Danio rerio: one gene and its partners. The protein of the gene in region 1 purifies or fractionates together with the protein of each later gene. This does not show direct contact. Links are inferred from orthologs where the notes say so. Each region holds a gene or a part of one and is shown in the gene's direction. Other genes may lie near its edges. The genes, in order: ing4, kat7b and jade3.

What was found.
Region 2: the proteins of ing4 (region 1) and kat7b purify together in Homo sapiens (affinity purification with western blotting; 6 studies listed by BioGRID and IntAct, with this or other methods). This does not show direct contact. The link is inferred for Danio rerio from reciprocal best matches to the Homo sapiens genes ING4 and KAT7.
Region 3: the proteins of ing4 (region 1) and jade3 purify together in Homo sapiens (affinity purification with mass spectrometry; 3 studies listed by BioGRID and IntAct, with this or other methods). This does not show direct contact. The link is inferred for Danio rerio from reciprocal best matches to the Homo sapiens genes ING4 and JADE3.

What each region holds. Positions count from the first base shown.
Region 1 is NC_133194.1:10,614,024-10,618,315, reverse strand, and holds the start of ing4 (inhibitor of growth protein 4), read left to right. Parts: upstream 1-1,389; 5' UTR 1,390-1,417; coding exon 1,418-1,454; intron 1,455-2,281; coding exon 2,282-2,353; intron 2,354-2,479; coding exon 2,480-2,646; intron 2,647-4,292. Other genes in the region: uncharacterized protein fam131ba, read right to left, coding at 495-579, 812-856, 1,239-1,256.
Region 2 is NC_133187.1:6,548,129-6,552,416, reverse strand, and holds the start of kat7b (histone acetyltransferase KAT7), read left to right. Parts: upstream 1-1,404; 5' UTR 1,405-1,533; coding exon 1,534-1,548; intron 1,549-2,080; coding exon 2,081-2,131; intron 2,132-4,109; coding exon 4,110-4,257; intron 4,258-4,288. UniProt on the Homo sapiens protein: Catalytic subunit of histone acetyltransferase HBO1 complexes, which specifically mediate acetylation of histone H3 at 'Lys-14' (H3K14ac), thereby regulating various processes, such as gene transcription, protein ubiquitination, immune regulation, stem cell pluripotent and self-renewal maintenance and embryonic development.
Region 3 is NC_133181.1:40,040,074-40,043,728, reverse strand, and holds part of jade3 (protein Jade-3), read left to right. Parts: coding exon 1-115; intron 116-2,410; coding exon 2,411-2,528; intron 2,529-3,655. UniProt on the Homo sapiens protein: Scaffold subunit of some HBO1 complexes, which have a histone H4 acetyltransferase activity.

The sequences.
Region 1 (4,292 bases):
ACACCTACCTATTACTAACACGGACCAAAGTTAATTTAGGCGTTTGCCTGCTGAAGAAAAAATAAATAAAACAAGATAATTTTGGCAAATTGTTTTAAATTTCTGTTAGGCTTGAATTATATTAGGGATAGTCCACCTAAAGTTTACCTGGCTTACTGATCATTTACTCACCCTCGGGTGGTTCCAAAACTTTTTTTTTTTTTTTGCTGTACACAATGGAAAAAAATTGGTAGACACTGACTTTCACAGTATTTATTCACAACGGATACCGGTTTACAACATTCTTCAAAAAGATCTCCCATTGGGTGAACTATCCTATTAAAGTCCTATGTGATACTTACTCCCCGGGCCGTTTATATCGAAGTTGATGTTTAGCATCATGTTGGTGTTTTGTGACATCTAATTTTTACAAGATGAGTTGTTAGGGCAACGCTCAACCCCCAAACCTGGAGGACCAGGACTTACGCACATACACTACAGACAGTTTTGCTTACCCAATTCACCTGTAGCGCATGTCTTTGGACTCTGGAGCACTTGGAGGAAACCCGAAGAGGACATGAAGACTTCAGATGCAAAAACCTATAAATTACACCTGATATTTTGTCCAAAAATAAGCATTTTTTAAAAGCCTCCTGGAATTATGTTCAGTTATTTCACTGTAAAGGCAAAGAAAATAACTTATTTGTAGTCAAAATGACTGAACCTACACACAGGAGAAAATGCTATTTTAGAAGTACATATCAAATGGCATTTAGAGGTTTTTGTATCTAAACTCTTCACATGCAAACTCCACGCAGAAATGCCAACTGACCCAGCCGGGACTCGAACCAGCAACCTTCTTTCTGTAAGGCGTGATCTAAAATATATTTTAAAAAGTTAACTCACAAACATTGTGTCCAAAAATTTTTTTAAAATAAAAATAAATCATTTTATAGACTGTTTCATTTTGTGAGGGAAAATGGTGTCTATGTTAAATAGCAACTTTTTCGATAATATTGTTTAAGGGACAAAATAAAAGCTTCATTTGTTTCAGTTTTTCTTAAAAAGCTTAATTTGACTACACTTCACAATGTTGAAATTCAGATGAAATGGCAAAAAAATAAAAATAAGTCGAGCAAAGCTATTCATAAAATGTATTGTGATGCTAAATTAAGTCAAAATTGTTTCAAAATTTGAGATACTGTCATGTAATTTAGCATTTCAACCACCCCAAAATAAATCCCTCAATATATTCTCACCTTTTTATCTTTGAACATCCAAGGAGCAGTTTAGTCATTCCGTTTCAAGACACCTTCAAAGCAGATAAATGACATGAAAGGGGTCAACAGACACCCCATTCAGGACCCCTCCTCCTCATGAGCATGGCCCCCGAGAACTTCCGGCAAAACCGGAAGAACCTTTGTTTGTGTTTGTCAAGATGGCGGCTGGAATGTATCTAGAGCACTATTTGGACAGTAAGACTATTGTCTTCATTTTGATATTTATCCCCACAAATAAACATCGTCCGTGTTTAGATTGTCAAGCATGCCTGCAAGTTTCACATACACACGCCATTTACTATAAAAACGACCACGTAACGAGACAAAGCAGCGCTTTATTACGCGTTATTGCGATCAGTAGCTTCTGCTAACAGGCTATGAACAGTGTTATGATGTCAGCGACGGTTTATCGCTTAATTGTAGTGTTACTGTGACAGGATGTGATGTTTCTACTATTAATGTATTGAAATGATAAACATAAATAAACCCTGGAGCACATTGTTAAGCTTCAAATAAAGTGTTTAGCCCTGTCGAGATAACAAATAGTTTATTTAGTGCCATTTTTAAAATGTACACAGAATTGTGGGTCTTAGATGCTTTGTGTTATTGGTGTAAAGTTGGTTTTATTTTAGCACATTTGGACTTTTACCTCATTAATATAGTTTCAAAAAAGTATTATTTGCTAATTTTAAATAAGGATATAAAATTAGCAGCCAGTTACTATCAAAGTACATTATTTACAGTCAGTAAATTAGTGCTAATGTTGTTTTAAAGTCATATTTACATGCGAATTCAGACTAAATATTTAAAGTAGGCTGGTAAACAATATAGCTACTGTGTCACAACAAGTAGTCACGTTGTGTTTATAACAATTTGTCATTATAACGAATCTGCATTAGCCTTTTTAATTTCTGCTTCACTATTTTCTTGGACTCCAAAGTATAAATGTGAGAATATAAAGCCAATTTTACCTGAATCTTCATGGTGGTGCTGAAGACTCATATGTCACTTGATCTATTTAGGCATCGAGAATCTGCCATTTGAGCTGCAAAGAAACTTCCAGCTGATGCGAGATCTGGACCAGAGGACAGAGGGTGAGTCGGTGTAGTAATATCTTTTATAATGCGTGCTGTTACTTTATTTCCTGACTCTATTATTTCTTCTATAAAATGGTACATCTCTTTTAAATGGTTGTTTGTTTACATCTCTTGTTTCTGCAGATCTGAAAGGGCAGATTGATTCTCTGGCTCGTGAATACACCGCTAATGCTCGGACACTGTCATCTGAACAGAAGCTCTCGCTGTTAAGACAGATCCAGCAGTCTTATGGGAAGTGCAAAGAGTTCGGAGATGACAAGGTGCAGCTTGCGATGCAAACCTATGAGATGGTTAGTGAAAATCTGCATTTGCTCTTTGCTAAATAGAAAAAAAAGTAGATATATATATACAGTGCTCAGCATATACAAGTACACTTCTCAAATCTCTCTTTTAAATTCTTATTTTTAATAGAAAGCTATACAATATTATATTTGTGTATATACAGATTAGATTATCAGTACTGAAGCCAAACCTGGAACTCATTTAACAAAATAACTTATGATCATGCTCCAAAAACTAGTACACCCAAATTGATATGTTATAAAAAAAATATTAAATGCAAATTTGACAAATTTTAAGAGAAGCAAAAAATAATAATAATTTAAATTTTGTTGATATTTTGTAGGTTGTCATTTTTATTTCTATTATCTTTTTAGTTTTTTTAACTATTTTTTCTATTCTTCTATTTGTTTAAGTGATAATTCACCAAAAAATTAAATGTACTCACTATTTACTCTATATTTTTTATTTACTTTTAAAAAATCCCCAAAATTTATCAGATATGATGATAATTCAGATTTAGTAAGAAATAATAAATCTACTTTTATACAAGTTTGTTTTCCATGCAGAAATTGTGCCGCATGTCAGAATCTAGTAAAGTATAAAGAATTTTAGAATCAAGTAACAGGTAAAAATAATAAAACAAAAAACTGCATTATTATATACATATATATATATATATATATATATATATATATATATATATATATATATATATATATATATATATATAAAGGGAAGTCATCACGTTATTTGAAATTGCGAATTAGTGAACATAAATCAAGTATACGATGACAAGATATAACTTCGGCAGTAGGAAGACATTTCAGATGATGACATTAAACAGAAGAATGTATGGGGGAATTACCAACCTACATCACACATGATGTCACACAGGTTCAACCACGCATACCAGTTGCAAAAAAAGACCGGTTGCAATAGCAAACATGTCGTGTTGTGCTGTAGGACAACCTAGAACCAGCTACTGCGAAGGCACGGTCACCTCTGCATTTCAGCCTTGACCCAGGTATGCACAACAGTTTCTGGTTAGAAGACCGAAGAGACAGACCAGGCTGATGCTCAATTAACATGTCTGACAGATAAGAAGTTGCCAGGCCATTTAGAGATTTAACAACCGAGAGAAGCATTTTAAAAGTTACTCTATAGTGCACAGGCAGCCAGTGCAAAGAGCGTAAAACTGGTGTAATGCGTGTTGTGTGTCATGTTTCTTGGTACCTGTTAAAAGCCTTGCAGCAACATTTTATACTAATTGTAACCAGGATTACAATAGTCCATTCTAGTAGTAATAAAAGCATGGATTATTTTTTTCCAAACTTTTTTCTAGATAAAATAAATTTGACAGTTTTTAAAAGTTGAAGCTGAAAAAAGCAGGAAATGACCACTGCATTTAACTGTTTGTCAAATCTTAAGCCATCATCCAGAATTACACCTTGATATTTTATCCAGGGCTTCATAAAAAAACTTAATTTTTCTAGATTAACCATTGGGGCTCTGGAAGAGTTTGACGGGCCGAACAAAATCATTTCACTCTTACTCTCATGAACTCCTGTAACTACTGATATCTATAGATACAAATACCATGGAAGTCAATGGTTATAGGTTTTATCTTTTTATATATTTCCAACAAAAAAAAAAT
Region 2 (4,288 bases), on another chromosome or scaffold:
ATATAGATTGAAAATATATTCATTCATTCATTTTCTTGTCGGCTTAGTCCCTTTATTAATCCAGGGTCTCCACAGCGGAATGAACCGCCAACTTATCCAGCAAGTATTTACGCAGCGGATGCCCTTCCAGCCGCAACCCATCTGTGGGAAACATCCACACACACACTCATACACTACGGACAATTTAGCCTACCCAATTCACCTGTACTGCATGTCTTTGTACTGTGGGGGAAAACCGGAGCCGGGGGAAAATGGAAACCCACATGAAGGCAGGGAGAACATGCAAACTCCACACAGAAACGCCAACTGAGCCGAGGTACGAACCAGCGACCTTCTTGCTGTGAGGTGACAGCACTATACTGCGCCACTGCCTCGCCCAGATTTAAAACATATTTACCCACAAGTAGGGTGACTCGGTGGCACTCGGTGGCACAATCACCTCACAGCAAGAAGGTTGCTGGTTCGAGCCTCAACCATTTTATATTTTTATTAGTGTTGAACATCTCATTTTATCTTTACATCCCCATATGGGCCAATTAATCCTGTTTTTTTATAGTAAGTAAAGGTGTAGTAACCATGCTTTTAGACTTGATAACCAATTCTATAACTACAGTTTAGGCTACTACAAAAACCATATACACTCTCAGAAATAACGGTACAGGAGCTGTCGCTGGGGCAGTACCTTTTCAAAAGATACATATTTGTACCCAAAGAGTCCATAGTGGTACCTCAAGGGTGCATTTTAGTGCCCAAATGTACCTTTGACATACCATTATGGACCCTTCATGTACTAATATGTATTTTTTGTAAAGGTTCTGCCCCAGCGACAGCTCCTGTATCTTTATTTCGAAGAAGGTGTTAGTTAACCAAAGAAATATTTTGTTTTATTAATTTATTTTGATAACGGTTATTGCCTAAAAGGTTATCTGGACATTCGAGCTATATGACATTTAATTGCATTAAATATGCTTTATTCAAACTTAATTTCGAACATTAAAATTAAATAGGATTGCCAACAAATTCAGGGAATCACAAAAAGTTTCTAGAGTTTTTAGAAACGAATATCAAAAAGTTTTTAGATCAATGAAAAATAGTTTACAATTTGGTACAGCTAAGCATACATTTTGTTTTGATGTGGTCATTTACAAATAAAATAAGATTTTTTGTTATTTTGCAGGCCGTTCATTCCACTGTGGCGGCCCCGGATTAATAAAGGGACTAAGCCGAAAAGAAAATGAATGAATGAATGAATGAATGAATGTTATTTTGCAGAACATGGATGTTTGTTGAGTCCTACTGGTCTAAATGGACGACGTCCCTCACTCGCTTCAGCGCCGCCATGTTTTCCGTCATTGCGTCACTTCCGCCGCGGTCCGGTGTGGCGCGAGTCGCGAGATAGTGAACAATTTGCGAGAACAGAAAAGGGCAAACTTGTGTTCACGCAGCTGCTGGGTTATATCTAATAACTGAAAACAAATAAATTCGTTTGACAAACGTGTGAAGAAAGCGGCGATTGGATTTATCGGAGGGAACATGCCGCGGCGGAAGGTGAGAGAAAATGCGAGAACTGGGTCAGTAGCCCAGTCGGCTGAGCGCGCGCTAACGGCTAGCTCAATGTTTGTTTACATGTTCAGACAAATGTTGTTTGTTTTCTATTAAAATGTTTCAATTTTTATCTCAATTGTGTTCTGAGTTAACATTTTAGCGCATAAGAATCGAAAAGCAAAGAAAGTGGCTTCGAAAACGGTGCGTTTTTAGGTAAAAGTGAAGCTAGTTAGCATTTTTTCTTTATGTGCAAACGTTAATGTTGAAAACACACTTGAGATTTAAAGTAATATTATTATTTCATTAAGGCAAGATACATTGCAAGTTTCCTTTTACCATCTGTCTATTTAGATTTTTTTTGCTTTTTAATGCTATTCAGAATACAATTCTACGAGAATACGATGATACTGTAAAGAAAACACCCATTATGCCCTTTTAATGTGTTATTTTCTAAGCTTTTTATCAAAATGTGTGTTTGTACATTCAGTTGCAATACATATTCTATTCTGAAAATGTTTTTGTTTCTCCTCTACAGGGCCATAAATCTCCATTTCAGCTGATCTTAAATAAACCCATAAATACTGAGGTAAAGTTCATTTTATTAATCGCACATTTAGACATTAATAATAAAGTTTCAGGAAAGTATTTTTTTGCTAACAAAGGAGAAGCTGGAAAAAACAGCAGCAAATGATCCAATCTGCAACCTAAAACATGAACAAACTGCCATGTTTAACGTTAACTAGTATCATCACCTATTGGACTATTATGAATTTGGAATGACGGAATTACCTTCTAACAAGAGGCTACATGTGCTGCTGAAGATTAAAGACACATATAAGAGGTTTGCGTCTGACTGGGCTATATTTCGTGTTGTTTTTGAACCCAAATAAGGACTAAATGTATGCTGTGTGTAGTTTTTATGTAATTGATAACATATCGGAGACTGTAAAGGTCTGTTTGTTTTCATATATGTTGTGTTTATTTATTTATTACATATAATTACAGACGCTACAGTAGGCTATTTTGCACTATCACTGATCTGTAGTTATAATCAAGTCATGTTCATAGAAGGGTTAGTAATAAACATTTAAAGAGAAGTATTTATGTGTATAAAGCTTCTGTTTTGTGAGAAGGGCTTCTCATATTTGTGAACGACCTGTATGGCTTTACTGTGACATTTCCTTTAGTAAAAATGATGTCATCTGAAACTTTGTCATACACCACTCCCACTAAAAGGGTACCTTTTTGGCTGTAGAAACGCAAGCTTGTTAAAGTGACCCCATTCCGACCGTGAAAACCGGCCATAAATGTCTCCCTTCCTAAGTTACACTTGCTCCTTTAGCTTCCTCACTGTCTATTTTCAAGCGCAGTGCGATCATTTTTGTCGCATATGTGCCCGAAATTTCATCTATGCATAAAATTGATGACGTTCGACCAGTTTTCACAACAAAATATTCACCACATGCGCAGATTTAGGAGGCATTCACGCATTAAGCATCTTTGCACCTAAAAACACCAAACGCAGCACTCAGGAATGGTTTAAAACAAGTGACTTGTCAACTTGCTGCAGTAAACAAAGCCTGCAATGCTTGCCCTGCCTTCTAGCTCTTCTTATTGGCCCACTGCGCTAGAACAGAACTCGAATAGATTGGCTCATATCAGCTGTCAATCAGACAGTTCCGATGACAGAGCTACAGCCACGAAAACGTAAAGGTAATCCATATGGAACATTGTTGTGTACAGAATATGGTCAGTCTATGTTACTGTTCCTATGGTGTATGTAAGTTTTTTGGCTTTTGTTTTAGGCTTTTTAGAACAACAGTATCCCCAGCAGCCTAAGCAGTTATCACAATACCGTTAAACCATGCTATATTTATCCAAGGTTTTCATACCATCTAAATCTTATGCCGTCCCATGCCTAAGTACAACAGTCAATTAAATATTACTTATATTGTTTAAGTAACATGGTAAACGATATAGGGACCAAGTCACAAGTTGTCATTGAACGAATGTGCGAATTTAAAACCAACTTTACCTTAATCCCATAAACCAGTGTTTCTCAACCACGTTCCTGGAAGACCACCAGCTCTGCACATTTTTCATGTCTTCTTAACCAAACACACCTGATTCAAATCATCAGCTCATCAGCAGAGACTGAGAGACTTATAATGGGTTTGACAGACAAAGGAGACATCCAAAACATGCATTGTTGGTGGTCCTTCAGGAACGTGGTTGAGAAACAGTCATAAACCATTACATTTTTCCCTTGCTGTTTTCAGTTTTTACAAAAACAGTGTAAAAAAACGAATGATCGTTTTTGAACTATATTTTTGTGCTAGAAATGTGCAAATTTAATGAAATAATGGATCATTTTTTACATTTAAACATCATTGTAGAACAATTGTAATGCTGTTTCTTTGCATTTCTTCAAGTAATCAATCGAAATCGTTTATAATCTTTTCCCCTGTTCAACTGCAGTGCTTAGCTCATTTTAAAGTGTTGTTTAATTCATGATCTGTACATGTACACTGATAAAGCACTGCTAATGTCCACTCTGTGTTTAGAGAACTGCGGGCAGTAGTTCAGACGGGACTGCAGATTCGGATGACTCTGGAGATCATGAGAAGACCGACAGCTCTCACGGTGAAGCCAACCAGCGCAATAACACCCGCATGACCCGAGCATCACTGCGCCTTAGCCAGAGCTCTCAAGGTAAAAACACACAGCTCATTATTGGCTTCCT
Region 3 (3,655 bases), on another chromosome or scaffold:
CAAGGCCCTGCTGCCACCTAAAGAAGATGAGGAGAACCTTCTGCTGCAGCCACAGGAGGACAGCATTCATACACGCATGCGCATGTTTATGCACCTGCGCCAGGACCTGGAGAGGGTGAGGGTTTTGAAGCCTGAGTCACATTGTTTAGCAGTGTTTTTGCTGTTTTTGTGCGTTTGTTTGACTTTTAAAAGAAAACTTCACTTTTCTTTTTAAATAGTTTCATTTTACAAATCATCTAGAAAGTTTTTAGTACCATTTTTGAACCCATTCAGATGATATTCAGCTCTGTCAAGAGCACTTTTATCTTAGCTTACCATAGATCATTCCATCGAATTAGACCATTAGCATCTCGGTCAAAAATGGCAAAAAAAGTTTTGATAATTTTTAATTTAAAGATTGACACTTCTATAGTAACATTGTGTGCTAAGACTGACAGAAATTCAAGTTTGCTGTTTTCTAGGCTGATACGGCTCGGAATTATAGGAGTGTAATAGTCAGGGAACTTTACTGCCGTACCATGGTTGCAGCAGGTGCAATGATATTACCCAGTAACATTACGTAGTTACTATGGCAGGGCAATAAATCCATTTTCTCAATTAACTCGAGTGGGGCTGTGCAATTAATCGAAATCGAATCGTATTTGTGATTTGAAATGTTGCAATTAGCTAACACAAGGGGCAGCGATATGAAATGTGTATAATTTATTTCCCCCACCCAAAGAGAATGCGTGACTGCCGTCTGTGTGTGATGGTCTTACTACCCAATTGAGTGAGCACACTTTCATTCTGCCCAATCAGAGTTGCGCAACAGAACTATGCGGAAAGCCCACAATAAAAACAAACAAACAGGACCGCACGGACAAGTGGGATGACGCCGTCTGCCGCTTCAGAAGCATTAATAGACGAATTAATGTCAAAGAAAAACAGCACAAAGCTAATATGGGAATCATAAAACAGGTCATTTGTAAGAGATGTCGCAGAATTGTTGCCACAGCTTGAGGAAATACAACAACCAGCACCTAAAAAAGCACCACAGACGGCTACATGAAGAGTGTCTTGCTAAAAACTCAACTAAAAGTATTGCCAGTTACGCTCAATCTAGTAGCAAGCAACAGCAAAGTACAATTTCAGAGTTGTGTGCAGCTGTTACACCATATGAAAAAACATCATGAAGGCACCAGGAGATAACTAACACCATAACTCACTACTGTCTGCTGTAGAGAAAAATTAGTGTTTCATTTCTGAATATTATAAACAGTTTTGAATAAAAGTTGAAGTTGGTGAATATCGTTTCAGTTCCCTTTTCACTAACAGTCACTGCATTTTAGCAGTAAGTAGCTATGCTACAAAATATTGAGCTGAAGCTTGACTACAAAGTTGAATCGCAAATTGAAATCGCAGTATCTGTCAAAAAAAAAAATTGCCATTAGATATTTTCCCCAAATTGCACAGCCCTAAACTTGAGCGTGTATTTTACATCAAATTGTTTGAATGAAAAATTTTTAATTTTTTTTTTACACATGCGATGCTTTCCTCTGGTCTCCATTTCTCCGAAAACCTAAAGAAAATCTTTTTAAAAAGATCACCCACCCCTACTAGTTACCTAGTTGGGGACTATCTTCATTATGTCATTGCGCCTCCTTGCATAACTCCCTGGTATGGCAGCTCTAGTTCATTGATTATTACGCCAGAATAATCATGACCATTTATCTACACTACTGTGTATTTGGACTAAATTTTGTGAATTATATTACAACTTCTATTATTATATTACATTTAGAACATTTGGTGTATTTACAGGTTTTCCTTTAATGACACTGCTGTTTTCAGAAGGCATTACTTCAGTTTTCAGTGTCGCATTATTTATCAGAAATCATTCATGAAGCAGGAAGCTTCTAATGTGCTGATGAGGAAACATTTCTTAGTGCTTTTACAAAACTCAAGATTTGGATCACTAGATTTTTGAGCCATTGACTCGATTATTTTTCCAAACAAAAACTGGTTAATAAATATAATTCGCTTTCCAACCATGGATGCTAGTTTTATCAATAAAACGCTAAATTGCTAAATAAAATAAATTAATTGCTAAATAAATGTCTTTTTTCATTTTAATATACAGTTATTATTAATAATAATAGATTTTTATTTTTAATAATTATTTTTTTTATCATTCTTTTTGTTTAATAATACTCATTGCAACTTGTTAAGATACCAAATGAGCAGTCTACTTCAAAAATAAGTTGTCAGTAAATCAGTAAATCTAAGCAAATAATCATGTATATACAAAATAAATGTGTGTATTTGAAGCATTAATAGTATTGTATGGTTATAATTCTATATTTTAAACCATCAATGTTTTTTTTTTTTGAACATTATGATCTTTATGCATATTTCTGTGTCATGTTGTCAGGTGAGAAACTTGTGCTACATGGTGAGTCGAAGAGAGAAACTGAAGCTGTCCCAGAGTAAAGCTCAAGAACAGATTTTCAATCTACACGTTAAGCTTGTCAACCAAGAGTTGTCTGCAGGTAACAACTAACTTGTATTTATATTTGTTGATTTGTTGTTTTGTAGTTTACTTACAGTGCATTTAACCCTTGTGTGCTGTTGGGGATGTTTTCATCCACTCTGAGGTGATTTTGAGTGTTAATTTTGCTGAAACACAGAGAAAGTTCAATTACATTCATCTTTATTTCTTTAGCACTTTTACAATGTAGATTGATTCAAAGCAGCTTCACATAAAAGATTATAGTTAATTGAAACTGTCAGTCCATTGAAGTTGTGGCCAATGGAATGATGTTTGGTGATGAATCTTATTTTGACACATATTTTGGGGAAATGCTTTGAAAAGTTTCAAAAACCTATATCAACAATACATTTTGGGCACGTTTATTATCCTTTTTTTTGTGATTGTGGCTGTTTTTGCCCCATTAACTTTCATTATAGCTACATTTTTTATAATAATAATACATTTTATTTATAGCGTTCTTTTCTCAGACCCAAAGCGCTACAAGGCGAACAGTAACAGTACCGTGCAAGGGATGATTTTGGTTGTACGATTATAGTCTAGGGAATTATTACGTGTATCACAGTTATTATGCAGTCATTCATTGCAAAATACTAGTTTAGAAAATCACATGAAAACTTCTTATATTTTAAATTGTTATCAGTAACCAATTAATACAGCACAAAATAACAAAAAATAAACAAAATAATCCATTTATCTTTGGACTTAAAAATAAGTGAAAAATGCTTTTGGGATTTAAACACAAGTAGTAATTTTACACTGAAAATAAATGACAGAACAAAAATAAATAAATAAATAGTTTTTGTCCAATGTAAATTTAAGCATCATATTAGTTAAGTATTTCCCTTTTAAATAGAACAAATGAAGTCAAAGACTGCTGAACACTTGTCTGAAAGGCACTAATATGCACGCAAACCACGTGCCTCCATTGGAAATAACGAACTTGCATGCGTGTAAAAGATGGGATATGTGAATGGCCCTTAGTTAAAAACCTCCTCAGCCATAGTTATAATAAGTCTTTGATCCAATGTGCGTGCGTATTGTGTACAAGCTCAGAACTTTAAACTAGCGCACCATTGGCATAACTTTAAGTTGCAGCAGTTTTGTTCCATGCAGAAATACGGTGTT